Linked DNA regions of Stegostoma tigrinum. The protein of the gene in region 1 interacts with the protein of each later gene in a pairwise test. Links are inferred from orthologs where the notes say so. Each region holds a gene or a part of one and is shown on either strand. Other genes may lie near its edges.

What was found. The genes of interacting proteins can lie anywhere in the genome.
Region 2: the proteins of golga1 (region 1) and phosducin-like protein 2 interact in a two-hybrid assay, tested with the Homo sapiens proteins (2 studies listed by BioGRID). The two-hybrid records come from large-scale screens. The link is inferred for Stegostoma tigrinum from reciprocal best matches to the Homo sapiens genes GOLGA1 and PDCL2.

What each region holds. Positions count from the first base shown.
Region 1 is NC_081382.1:26,349,003-26,355,979, reverse strand, and holds the start of golga1 (golgin subfamily A member 1), read left to right. Parts: upstream 1-3,904; 5' UTR 3,905-4,036; intron 4,037-4,125; exon of another isoform or gene 4,126-4,314; intron 4,315-5,504; 5' UTR 5,505-5,694; coding exon 5,695-5,826; intron 5,827-6,977. UniProt on the Homo sapiens protein: Involved in vesicular trafficking at the Golgi apparatus level. Involved in endosome-to-Golgi trafficking. Mechanistically, captures transport vesicles arriving from endosomes via the protein TBC1D23.
Region 2 is NC_081354.1:108,850,254-108,857,418, forward strand, and holds the start of phosducin-like protein 2, read right to left. Parts: upstream 3,099-7,165; coding exon 3,080-3,098; intron 1-3,079. UniProt on the Homo sapiens protein: Essential for male fertility, spermiogenesis and acrosome formation.

The DNA.
Region 1 (6,977 bases):
CACCCCTTTTGTTCCTTAGCTCTAGTCAAATTGATTCTGGTTTTGAATGATCTGAAACAACTTTTTCTCCAGTTCTGCTGCTTAATCTAGGCCCGAAACGTCAGCTTTTGTGCTCCTGAGATGCTGCTTGGCCTGCTGTGTTCATCCAGCCTCACATTTTATTATCTTGGAATCTCCAGCATCTGCAGTTTCCATTATCTCTGACCCTTTTCTTTTACTTTTTTTTCTGTATACTTTTTAATCAGGAATATTTAACACCACGATTTTCTTTCCTTGAGCCAAGTCTCCGTTATTGGCACAACATGATAATCTCACAAGACAGTCTGTGTCTATAATTCTTCAGTCTTTTAAACTTTATTTCATGCATTCATATGCATGCATTATAACCTTGATTTTAGGCATCATTCCTTTTTCCCTTATTCTAACTTCAACAATTAGAATTACTATTTACTAGGAAGATCCAAAGAATGAGTGATCTTAGATATAAGAAAAATGAGAGAAATTGGCCTAATTCTCCTTGGAACAGAGAAGATTAAGAAGTAACCTTATTGCAGTGTTCAAAGTTATAAACAACTTTGACAGTAAAAGAACAATATTCCATTTCTACTATTTGTATGCCTGTAACTAGGGGGGTCACAATTTCAAGTCTATAGCAAGAGAGCTCGAAGTGAGATGAAGAGAAATTTCTTTACTCATAATTGTTAGCGTTTGGAATGTGTTGCCTGGAAGAGAGATGGAGAAGGTTGTATAAGTTTCAAATGAGGTGGATATGTCATTGAAAGTGGTGAATTAGAGGGATGCAGGGATAGGACAAGGGAATGCAACATGCTGAGGAGCTCGTTGAGTCAGTAGTCAGGAAGCAAATGCAATGTTGGCATTTATTTTGAGAGGACTTGAATATAAAAGGAGGGATGTACTATTGAGGCTTTATAAGGCTTTGGTCAGGCCACGTTTGGACTATTATGTGCAGTTTTGGGCACCATATCTCAGGAGGGATGTACTGGCCCTGGAGTGGGTTCAGTGGAGGTTCACAAGAATGGTACCAGGAATGAAAAACTTAATATATGAGGAACGTTTGAGGACTCTGGGACTATATTCATTGGAGTTTAGAAGGATGAGGGGGGATGTAACTGAAACTTACAGAATACTGAATGGCCTGGATGTTGGGAAGATGCTTCCATTAATAGGAGAGACTAGGACTCGAGTGCACAGCCTTCGAATAAAGGGAATAGGACAGACGTAAGGAGAAACTTCTTCACCCAGAGAGTGGTGAATCACGAATTCGCTGTCACAGAAGGCTGTGGAGGCCAAGTCATTGAGTACATGTAACACTGAGATAGATAGGTTATTGATTATCAAGGGTTAAGGGGAGAAAGGAGAATGGGGTTGAGGAATTTATCAGCTATGATTGAATGGCAGAGCAAACTTGATGGGCCGAATGGCCTAATTTCTGCTGCTATGTCTCATGAACCAGTACAGACACGAGTTAAAGTCCTTCTGTACTAAAAATTCTATGATTTTATTAATTTACCATTCTGATATTACCTTCCCACCAGCATTTTATGCACCCATAGATTACTTTTTAATGTTCTCTTCCCGTTCCCACATCTCTACTGAATTAGTTTAAAAGTTCTTCAACAACACTTGCAAAATGTCCTGCAAGGAACTCTGATTCTGTTGAGGTACAACCCATCTGGTTTGTGCAGGTGTACTTTCTCCAGAGCCTGTTCCAGTGTCCCAGGAATCTGAAGCTGTCCTTACAACGCCATTGTTCTGGCCACACATTCATATCTCTTCTCTTCCTATTTCTGTAGTCACTTGGTAGATTGCAGTGGGAGTAATCTGCAGATTACTACTTCAAGAATGCTCCTTTATAAGCTGTAATTACCTGGATAAGTCACTTGATTGCTTGGATAGCTTTCAGTGCAACACAGCACCTTGGACACTTAACTGACGTTCTACTACATATTACAGTCATCATTTTCCCAATGCTGATAATCTAATAATTTCAGAAAACTAATGACTTGTTAGAGTAATTTAAAGTCATGTTGCTACAATTCAATCTGCAATACTTCTTTCATAACCATATTCCTCCATCTCACTTTTGGACTTCAATCTTAATTTCAATTAGTTTCTGCTTACATTTTCATCCAGGTAGGACATTTATCCTTCAATACCCCTTCAAACATCTCTAAATGCTATATCATTGAAATATGCTCCACTTATCCAACTTCATTCCCTAGAAATACTTCCAGCAGTGCTTCCTTCCCTGTTGTGTTGGACACACATTGATAGATATCTTGAAGCTATTTTGGAAATTCCTCACCTAGCTTCTCTGTCCTTCATATTGTTATTAATGCAACTCCTCACTACTATTATGGTATGTCAGTAATTTCTGAATTTTCTCCTTTCCAATATTTGGTGGCCAGTAGCATACAAATAGTGGCAAAACAGCTTACTTCAAGTTCTGACTTCTATAATTCTAACCAGCTAGAAAGACAAAAAAAGGGTCTGTTAAAAGACTCTAAACAAACAACTGTGAGACTATATAGGAGCAAATTACTGCAAATACTGGAATCTGTACAAAAAAAATGCTGGAGATCACATTGGTTCAGGCAGCAACCATGCAGAGAAAGTAATCTAAGGTTTCCAGGATAATGAAATGTGAGGCTGGATGAACACAGCAGGCCCAGCAGCATCTCAGGAGCACAAAAGCTGACGTTTCGGGCCTAGACCCTTCATCAGAGAGGGGGATGGGGTGAGGGTTCTGGTGAACACAGCAGGCCCAGCAGCATCTCAGGAGCACAAAAGCTGACGTTTCGGGCCTAGACCCTTCATCAGAGAGGGGGATGGGGTGAGGGTTCTGGAATAAATAGGGAGAGAGGGGGAGGCGGACTGAAGATGGAGAGAAAAGAAGATAGGTGGGGAGGGGAGTATAGGTTGGGAGGTAGGGAGGGGATAGGTCAGTCCAGGGAAGACGGACAGGTCAAGGATGTGGGATGAGGTTAGTAGGTAGGAGATGGAGGTGCGGCTTGGGGTGGGAGGAAGGGATAGGTGAGAGGAAGAACAGGTTAGGGAGGCAGAGACAGGCTGGACTGGTTTTGGGATGCAGTGGGTGGAGGGGAAGAGCTGGGCTGGTTGTGTGGTGCAGTGGGGGGAGGGGACGAACTGGGCTGGTTTAGGGATGCGGTGGGGGAAGGGGAGATTTTGAAGCTGGTGAAGTCCACATTGATACCATTGGGCTGCAGGGTTCCCAGGTTTCCAGTCTAGATGACTCTTCCTCAGACCTTTGAGACATCGGTACTATTAGACTATCAACTGCCTTGATTCAGTTCTGCTGGCAGCTTGCGATTGAATTAGGAACAGGACGTCTCTCGAGCCTATCTGCTATTTTAATGAGATCGTAGCTGATCATACCCTAAGGCCTATATCCCTAAATTAAGAGGGCAATATTCCATCTTGCAAAGGAGAAGCAGGCTATTCAGCCCATCAAGTCCACATGCCCCACAATCAGCAGCCTCACTTCCGTGTTTTATCTCGAGTGCAGTTTCAGTTTCCTACTTCATGTGTGGTGTGTGAATTTGTTTTAAAAAATCCTAGTGCTTTTTCACTCGGGTTCCTTGCAGCAGTGACAAGAAGATGTAACGTCTGGGAGAATTGACACGCTGTGTTGAAGGGAAATCTGGGGCCCGTTGATGTTGAATTCGAGTCCTCCGAGACTCTTGGAGCAGCACTGTCTCACTAGTTCACTCTTGATCAGGTCGATACTGTTGTTGGCGTCGTCGGCGCCTCCCCCACTGCTGCTGACGGGGATTTGTTTTGGTGGGCTTGGCTACGGTCCAATCAGCAGTCCCAATACATCAGCGAATGGGTACAATGGCACAAGTCCCCGATCTAACGTTCAATCTGATTGGACTGAAGGAAAGCCGCTGGGAACTTGATGACGTTGCGGCCACGTCGGCTGAGCGGAGGTGAGAAAGGCCGACAACAGGATGGAGCAGTAGTGTATAGAGCCTTGCTGCTAACACACACTCAGGTACTTGGTCGCCATGAGAAAGTGCCTGCTCGGGTGTCCTCGCTCTCCGGAGTTTATGGTTCCTACCGTTATCGGCAATTTCGTGTCGAACTTCTCGGAAGTGACCTGCTATTTATAACAGATCCGGCCGAGCAGAAGCTTTCAGTGGGTAGTTGATTGCTTAGTGAACCATGAGTGATGACCCAAGTTGGCCGTATCGGCGGACGCTCGGCCGCTCGCCCTCCTTTGGTGAACTAAAACCTGCTGCCGAGCCCACCTTATTGACGAGCTGCTGATTGGTGGGTTGGCTGTTCTGTCCCTCGACAGGGATGGACGCGCTTTCCGACTGGTCCCGTAAACTGTCACTCAAGAAGCTGTCAGCTGCTGTTCCGAAACAAAACAGAAATTGCTGGAAAAGCGCAGCAGGTCTGGTAGCATCTGTGAAGATCCGTTCTGAGGAAAGACCACGGGACCCCGAAACGTTAACTCTGATTTTTTTTTTCTTCACAGATGTTGCCAGACCCGCTGAGCTTTTTCAGCAATTTCTGTTTTGTTTCAAAGATTTATTCTTTCTGTTTCACGATTTCTCCCAGTAAATTCCCCATAAATGATGTTAAACTAACAGACGTGTTGCTACCTAGGTTGTCCCTCCTGTGCCTTAAATAATGGATCACCCAAGGACATTGTTCCTGAATCATGAGAAATTTATAAAGTCTGACTAATCCATTTGGAATTTATTCACCTGAACTGGCTCCAGTCCATTTGTTTGATTCCTTTTGAGTCATATTTTCTTACAGGAAAGAAACTTTGAATAATACTGTGATTAGTTGATTAGAAGTAGTTTTGAATCCCAAAGATTAGGTGACCATAACTTCTGGAAAAAGTAGCAGAAACAAAATGCTGTATTGTTAAGGAAAATGAAACAGCACATTGAATAGTCTTGTTCATAGGCAAAACATGGTCTTGTCAGAATTCTTGAAGAATGGAATTTACCAACAGTCCTTGGGGAAATAGAATGTGACAATTCTGGCATCAAAGAAGTAGCACAAAAACTGGTATCATGTCATTAAACTTTAATTAATCTTTTCTGCAGTTTGGTCCAATGTAAGCGCGACGCAAAATACTCTTTTCTCATAGTATTGGCACTGAGCCCGCGTGCAAACACCCGGTGCCCGTTTTTGTGCTTGAACTTGGGTTGGATGGAACAATTTTGAAATGTTTACTTAATTTTCTTCCCATTTCCCTTTCTTAGTGGTTACATATTTGTATGTTGGCTGCCAGGTCTTCTAAAGTAGAATTTAGGGTAGGAAACAAAGAAATGTGGGTATACAGGAGAATTGCAGTGGACTTCAGTTGTGAAACCCAAGCTGTATAGAATAATGAAACAAAGTTTTTTTTTTAAAACATCATTTCTGACATATTATGATTGCAGTTGAGAACCAGTAGAAATGTTATTTTCTTGATCTAATGTACTTTATTTTGCTGACAGGTGATGCAATGGACGGTTTTTGCAGTAGATATAAAAAGTGAGCCTTATTAAGGAGCAGCTAGGAGCCAAACAGAGTACATTGTTTTCTAAAGCACATCCACTGTCTCTCTTCCAAACTCATCTGAGACTTCAGATAACCTTAAACAGTTTGGTGGTTTGGAACACCTCTGAAAAATATAGCTGAAGAACCATGTTTGCAAAACTGAAAAAGAAGATTGCTGAAGAGGCAGGCAACACCTCACGTCCTGGTACGGCACGGATTCCAAGATCGGTCAGCAGAGACTCCATTACTTCAATAGGAGCTGACTCTGGAGAAGATATTGTATGTATTTTGTATGTCTAAAATTGAGATCTTTGAAGAGGCTTTGTGGAAAGATTGTGATTTCATCAGGCTGAATCAACAGTTGCAGTTAGTCATAGAGCTGTATGCTCAGCCTAACTCCTCCATGCCGACCAGATACCCATAATAAATCTAGTCCCGTTTGCCAGCAATTGTCCCACATCCCCCTAATTCATATATGCATCCAGATGTTTCTTAAATTATTGTAATTATACCAGCCTCTGCCACTTCCACTGGCAGCTCATTCCATACATGCAACACACTCTTCTTCATAAAAACGCCACTCCTTAGGTCACTTCTGAATCTTTCCCCTCTCAGTTTAAACCTATGGCTACTAGTTTTGTACTCCCACAACTCGGGGGAAAAGAACTTGTCTATTCAGCCTATCCATGTGCCTCATGACTTTACAAACCTCTAAAAGGTCACCCCTCACCCTCTGCTCCAGGGGAAATAATATCAGCCTATTCAGTCTTCCTCTATGGCTCAAAACTCTCCAACCCTGGCAACATCCTTGTAAATCTGTTTTGAACCATTTCAAGTCTCACAACATCCTTTCTTTAGCAGGGAGGCCGTGCAATATTCTAATAGTGGCTTAACCAATGCCCACTGCAGCTGCAACAAGACCTCCCAACTCCTGTACTCAATGCAGTGACCAATAAAGGCAAGCAAACCAAATGCGTTTTTCACTATCCTGTTTATGTGGAACTTCACTTTCAAAGGAATAACATATGAACCTGCACTCCAAGGTCTCTTTGTTCAGCAGCACTCCCCAGAACCTTACCGTTGTAGATAGGTCTTGCCCTGATTTGCCTTTTCAAAATGCAGCACCTTGCATTTGTCGAAATTAAACTCCATCTGCTGCTCCTTGGCCCACTGGCCCATCTGAGCAAGATCCTATTGTACTCTGAAGTATCCTTCTCCGCTGTCCACTACACCTCCAATTTTGGTGTCACGTGCAAACTTACTAACCACTCTCCTATGTTCACATCCAAATTATTTATATAGATGACAAAAAGCAGTGGAACCAGCACCAAATCTTATGGCACACTGCTGTTCACAGGCCTCCAATCTGAAAAGCAACCTCCAGCATCACCCTCTGTCTTCTACCTTCGAGTCAGTTCTGTATCCAAGTG
Region 2 (7,165 bases), on another chromosome or scaffold:
CTGGCACTTTGAATAATCTGTACTTTGGCCTGATGTGCATTGCTGTGTGTTGCAGGCTTGCTCAACCTGTATGGCTGCTTACTGGTCCCTACACTGTTTTACCAGTTGTCAATGTATGCTGAGGCTACCTCCCAGTCCTTAGTGGCTCTCCTGTCACTAGAATGGGCTCTTTCCACTTGTGACTGCTACTGTCCCAGCTGCATCAGATTTTCCTGTATTCTGGCGCTCTGCTCTTTAATGACAAGTTTTAACTTTTTCAAGTTATCAGCAATGATTTTTAATCACTCTTGCAGCAATCTAATCTCGTCCAGTTTTTGAGAGTCTTTTAGGCTACATGCTATTGCAATTGCTGTGCTTATCTTAATAGCCTTCTTTCCTAACTTGTTATGTGTTTATTGCCTTAAGCCTTGGGCCATGGACCCTGTGGTCCAGGGGCAATTTAGGCTGCTACAGAATTCTGTCCATTTGGGCCAATTTTTACAAAGGTGTTGTCTGAGAGTGTCCTCCCATGTTGGATGAGGGGAGACTTGTCCCATTTTGCTAGCAAGCATATTATTGATAGGTCCTCTACTGGATTTCTCTTAATATGTTATTAAGTTATGGGAAATAGTTGTAGTTGGGGTAAAGCTTCAGCTAAATTCTTGTTGCAACCTCTCAAAATGTTTAGATATGTACAACTAGAACTACAAAACTCAGAGTTAGGTCTTTAGCCATTTCTTGTGGCCTGACTGTAGTTTCTTAAACCTGTGTATTATACCTATTCCTCGGTCCCCAACACAATCTCTGACTACTTGTTCCAGATACTTTTCAAACACTCAGCAGTTATTTTGACTGGGCTAGTGAAGCATGTAGACATGTCAATGGCTGCCTATGTCTCTACTTCTTTTAAATGCAAAATTGAAGTTTCTTTGACTGTTTGGAACTCAAAGATCCCTCAGCTCTCTTGAACTCAAAATAAAGTTCCTTCAAGTCTAAATAAAGAATGACTTTTCCCTGACTCTGTCCCCAACAAATACTGTTGGGGCAACATTGGATCAAAATACAAAGTAAACTTTCCTCTATTCATTCAAACTCAAAATAAACTAAAAATCAAACCTCCTCAGCTCTGCTCCATAGAACACTCCCAGGACAGGGGCAACACGGATTTGAAATTCACAGGAAATTTCCTTCTACTCACTGGAACTGAAAAGAAATAAAATAAAGCTCCCTGATTCTTTCAAGGAGTCCAAAATGTCTGTAAGGTTTCTACACAAGAGGTAAATGCCTGCTCCCCTCTCCCCACCCTGCCTCCTGCAGTCCCTCTATGCACTGCTACCCTTTTCCAGCTCATGCTTTGCTCACTCTGGCTGTAGAACACCTGGCTCGTGCTTTGCCTGTCACAGTCTAAGGTCACTGGTTATGGTTCAGTTGTGATCAGTGCCAGTGTCTCACAAGTTCAACTTACATCTTGTCCTTTAGGTGGGGCAACTGACCTCTTAACAACCAGCTCAGGCTGACCATGAAAGACACCAGACAAGGTTGACAGTTCAGGTGTGGAAGACCCTTAGGGTCACTTCAAACCAAAGTCTCTTAACAGGGGATGCCAAATGTTGTCTGGTTACTCTTTAAACAAGTTACAGGCAACTCCGACCAGAATGTTGTGAGCGAATTTGCCCAGGTGTCCCACAATACCAAGGTGGTCAAATCAATATGAACACAAGCTGGTACCAAAGCAAAATAGTTCCACATTATTAGGAACAAAATTATAATAATCTTTAATACTAAGTATACTATCCCTAATCTTTTTTGGCCGCTTAAGGTTCCAATACTTCCTGAGTCATTGTAAATTTATATAGTCACTCTCTCTGCGCCTCTGTCTCTGTGAAGTCGTTTTCTTCACCTCTCCGTCTGGATGGTCAGTTGGTCTCTGCCTCTTGCCATGCTGTTCTCCTCGTAAAGCCTCATAGGATTCAAGAGAGTCCCAAGAGAGAGGGCTGCAGGTGAACACTGTTTTTATGCCATTTGGATGGTTTTCTGTAACTTTCCACGTTTCTGGCCAATCAAGGAGGTACATGTAATAGGTTGAAACAAGAGTCCATCATTTAGATGGCATGCTACTGTTAGTTTCTTTGTGTAACAGGACCCAGTGCTTTTCTGACTGTGCTCTCCTTTGTTTAGAGAATACATTATTGGGGGTGATTCTGTCCACAGTAACTGCTGCCTTTCACATCGTTCTAATGTCATTAGCATTTGGCTGCTGCGTTTGCAATGTGTCTGGTGTGTGGGTTTCATGATTTCAGAGTTTTACTTGGCCAATGTACCCAGCCACCTCTTGGAGTGTGGCCAAGTTAACACAATCTAGTTGTGTTTTAGCAGCCCAGAGGCAGCTACAATTTCATCCAACTTCTGGCCTGCCACCTGTCTTTGACATTGATGGGCTTATTCGTTTAGTTTGACGGCATCTTTAACATTTCTGGTTAAAAATTGATGCTTTTCCTATCGCTTGAAATTTTTGTCACATGTTGTAATGTATTTATTCTGCATACTCTGAGATATTCTGTTAAACATCTGCCATTGCATTGTTATTGACGTGTTCTTTAACCTCTTACTGTGCTGTCATGCCCTCACAATTTCACCTATTCAATTTAAAAAAAATGACCTTGTGCCTGCTCTCCTCCCTCAAACTGAATGTTAAGTTCAACTATATAATGGTTTCTGCTACCTAGGGCTGCCTCCACTATGTAATCACTAATTAATCCTATCACATTACACATATCAGATCTACCAATGTTTGCTCTATATTTGGCCTCAGAATACCACTCATAGAGTGGTGAATTTGCTACCACAGAAAGCAGTTGAGGCCAAAATATTGTATTTTGAAGGAGTTGGATTAAACACTTTGGGCTAAAGTGATCAGAGGATATGCGGGGAAAAGTGGGAGCAGGCAATTCAGTTGGATGATCAACCATGATTGCATTGAATGGTGGAGAAGGTTCAAAGGGCTGAATGGCCTACTCCTATTCCATTTTTTTTGTTCCAATGCTGTTCTAAGAAAAAACGTATTTCCAAAAATACTCTATGAACTCTTTATCAAACTTACCTTTGCCTACTTGATTCATCTAGCTAATATATACAATAAACTCTCCCATAATTATCACTGGGCTGTCTGTTAAGTTCTCATTATTCCTTTCTTTATGCTCTGCCCTAACATGTAGTTAATGTTCGTGGGCTTGTGACTTCTTGCTATTATCATGTCTCATTTTTACCTAAACTTTTTCCACAGTTTCCTGATTTTTAGGTTGTTCCTCTCTTTTGTATCAAAATAACTGTTAGCTAACAGAGCTACCCTTCCACATTTTCTCAGTCTCCTGTTATTCATAATATCTTGTATTCTTCAAAATTCAGTTCCTAATTTTTCTTTCCTGTAGTTTTGTCATCGTAATGGCTACCAGATCATTCTTATTCATTTATATTTGTACTCTAGGTTCATTTTTTTCTTCTTTATTCATTTATGGGATGAGGGCATTGCTGGCCAGGCAGCATTTATTGCCCATCTCTAATTGCCTAAAGGGCAGTTGAGAGTCAACCACTCAACAACTGCTGTGGGTCTGGAGTCATATGTAGACCAGACCAGGTAAGGATGGCAATTTCCTTCCCTAAAGGATAATAGTGAACCAGATCATTTTTTCTGACAATCAATAATGGGTTCATGGTTATCATTGGATTCTTAACTGCAGACATTTATTGAATTCAAATTCCACCATCTGCTGAAGTGGGATTCAAACCTGGGCCCTAGAACATTGTCTGGGTCTCTGGATTAACAGTCCAGCAGTAGTACCACTAGGGCATTGCCTCGCGGTATTATCAAATACTTTGGGCATTTAGATACAGAGCCTTCAGCTTTATCCTTTTACTCTTTGTAATTTCTAGTCATATCTGTTGGTTGAGTTTTAAATTTGTATTCTATCTTTGTCTGTCATAATTGGTTTAACTTTCCAGTATAATATCTTTCTCTTTGGCCTTTATTCTTTGATTTAACACAGTTTCCAAATTTGAATATTTGCCTCCATTATTTGGTTTAAAAGCCTCTGTATTTCTCCAGTTATATGGTTGGTAAGAACACAGGCCCCAACACAGTTCACATGGAGACTGTCCCATTGGTATAGATCCCACTGTCCTCACTGCAGGTGCTAGTGTCCATGAACTAGAACAGTCTTATCCCACGCCAGTCTTTGAGCAATGTATTCACTTCTCATTTCTGATTTGGATTGTCCAAATTTTCACTTGGTTCTAGGAATCATACTCAAGCTCCTCTGCATCCTCATCATTGCTCACCCACCCACTCAGCATTATGCTATCTGCAAACTTAGTGATGCTACATTTAGCTCTGAGGAATGGTCACCGGGCCCAAAGTGTTAACTCTGATTCCTCTCCACAGATGCTGCCAGACAAGCTTAGCTTTCCAACGATCTCTGGTTTTGTTTCTGATTTCCAGTGTCTGCAGTACTTTGGGTTTTTATTTACATTTAGTTCTCTCACCTTAATTATTAACATAAATTGTGAGTAGCTGAGGTTCTCTATCTGTGCCAGAACAAAACCTCCAATCCCACGCATTTTTATTTGACATCTTGAATGAGATGTCATCAAAAATATTCTGAAGATTGAAATAAACATTTAGATTTAGATGTTTCAGGTAAATTAAAGAAGGATGTAAAAAAGATGGGGAGTTGCATTATTTGATAAGGGAGAATACCACAGCTGTACTGAGAGAGGGCACCTTGGAGGACTCATCCAGTAAGGCCTCATGTGTAGAGATCAGGAATAGGGAGGGTACAATCGTTTTGATGGAGTTGTACTGCAGGCCTCACAACAGCCAGCGGGTGATAGAGGAACAGATATGTGGACAGGTTATGGAAAAATAAAGAAACCATTTGGTTATTGTGGTGGGTGACTTTAATTTCCATATATTTACTGGGACTGTATTAGTGCCAGGGATTTGGATGGGATGTGGGTGGGGGTGTTAGTTCGTTAGATGTGTCCAAAAGGATTTTTTGACGTCACATGTAAATAGTCCAACTAAGGAAGAGGTCGTATTAGACCTGGTATTGGGGAGTGAGCCTGGCCAGTTGATCCATGTTTTATTGGGGAAGCATTTTGGGAACAGTGACCATAATTCTAGAGGTTTTAAGCTACTTATGGATATGGATAAGAGGAATCCTTGGATGAAAGTACTAAACTGGGGGCAGGCTAACCACCACAATATTAGGAAAGAAGTAGGGAATATAGATTGGGGGCAGCTGTTTGAGAATAAATCCACATCTTTACATGGGAATCTTTTAAAGGCAAGTTGATTAGAGTTCAGGACCAGCATATTCCTGTGAATAAGGATGGCAGGATTCAGAATGTTGGATGGCAAGAAAAATTGATGGCTTAGTCAAAAAGAAATTTGAGGCATACATAAAGTTTAGGAAACCGAAGACAGACAGGGCCCTTAAAGAATATAAAGAAAGCAGAAAAGAAACAAGGATTTAGGAGGGTTAAAGGGAATATGAAATGTCTTTGGCAAACATGATTAAGGAAAATTCCAAGACATGTTATACATACATAAGGAGCAAGAGGGAAAGAATAGATCCACTGAAGGATAATGCAGGGAATTTATGTACGGATATGTTACCTCAGTATTCACATAGGAGAAGGACATGGTGGATGGAGAATCTTGAGAGGGGTATGTTGATTGTCTCGACATGTCAATATAAAAAAGGAGTTGGGTGTTTTGAAAACAATTATGGTTGACAAATCCCAAAGATCTGATGGAATCTATTCCAAAATGCTGAGGGAAACAGGCGAGGAAATTGCTGGTACCTTGTCCAAAATCTTTGTATCCTCTTTATTCACAGGTGAGGTCCTCGGGGGCTGGAGAATAGCTATTGTTGTTCCTTTGTTTAAGAAGAATAATAGGGATAATCCAGGAACTATAGGCTGGTGAGCCTTATGTCAGTGGTAGGGGAATTATTGGAGAAGATTCTTAGGGACCAGATTTACTCACGTTTGGAAAAATATGAACATATTAGTGCTAGGCAATTGGCTCTGTGTGAGACAGGTTGTGTTTCATGAAAATGATTGAGTTTTTGAGGAAGAGACAAAGATTATTGATGAGGGCATATATGTTGTCTATATGGACTTTAGCAAGGCCTTTGACAAGGTCCCTCATGCAGGCTGATACAAAATATGATGAAGTCATATGGGATCCACAGTAAGTAGAAAGTTGGATACAGAACTAACGTAGCCAAAGAAGATACAGAGTAGCAGTGGAAGGGTGTTTTTCTGATTGGAGATCTGTGACCAGTGGTGTTCCACGGGGATCAATGCTGAGACTCCCTGTTATTAGCAATATATATGTATAAATGGTTTAGAGGAGAATATAGGTGGCCTACTTAATAAGCTTGCGGATGACACAAAAATTACAGGAGCTGCAGATAGTGAGGACAATTGCTAGAGAATATAGCAGGATATACATAGGCTGGAGACTTAGCAGAGAAATGGCAGATGAGTTAAGTCCAAAAAAATTAGACATGATGAATGTTGGAAGATCTAATGAATCAGGGAAGTATACAGTAAATGGGAGATCCCTTTGGGGGCTCTACATATGCAGGTCCATAGTTCTCTGAAAGTGGAAAAACAAGTTGATAAGGAGAAGGATTAAAGAAGGTGGTAAGGAAGGCATGTGGCATGCTTGCCTTCATTGTTTGGGGCAGAGAGTATAAAAATTGCAAATTATATTGCAGCTGCATAGAAGTTTATTTAGGCCACATATGGAATATTGAGTACCGTTCTGGTTGCCACACTACAAGAAGGATGTGAAGGCTTTGGAGAGGGTACAGAAATGATTTAACAGGATGTTTCCTGATTTAGAGGATATTGGCTACGTGGTGAGATTGGAAAAGCTCGATAGAAGCTCACAAAATTTTGCAAAGCATGGATACAATGGATAGTCCGAGTCTTTTATCTCCAGGGTAGAAATGTCCATTACGAGAGAACCTAGGTTTAAGGTAAAAGTGGGAAGATTTGAAGGAGATATGAAAGGCAAGGCTTTTATACATAGGGTGGTGAGTGCCTGAAATGCACTGCCATGGGAAATGGCAGAAATGAATACAATTGCAATGCTTAAGAAGCATTTTTACAGATA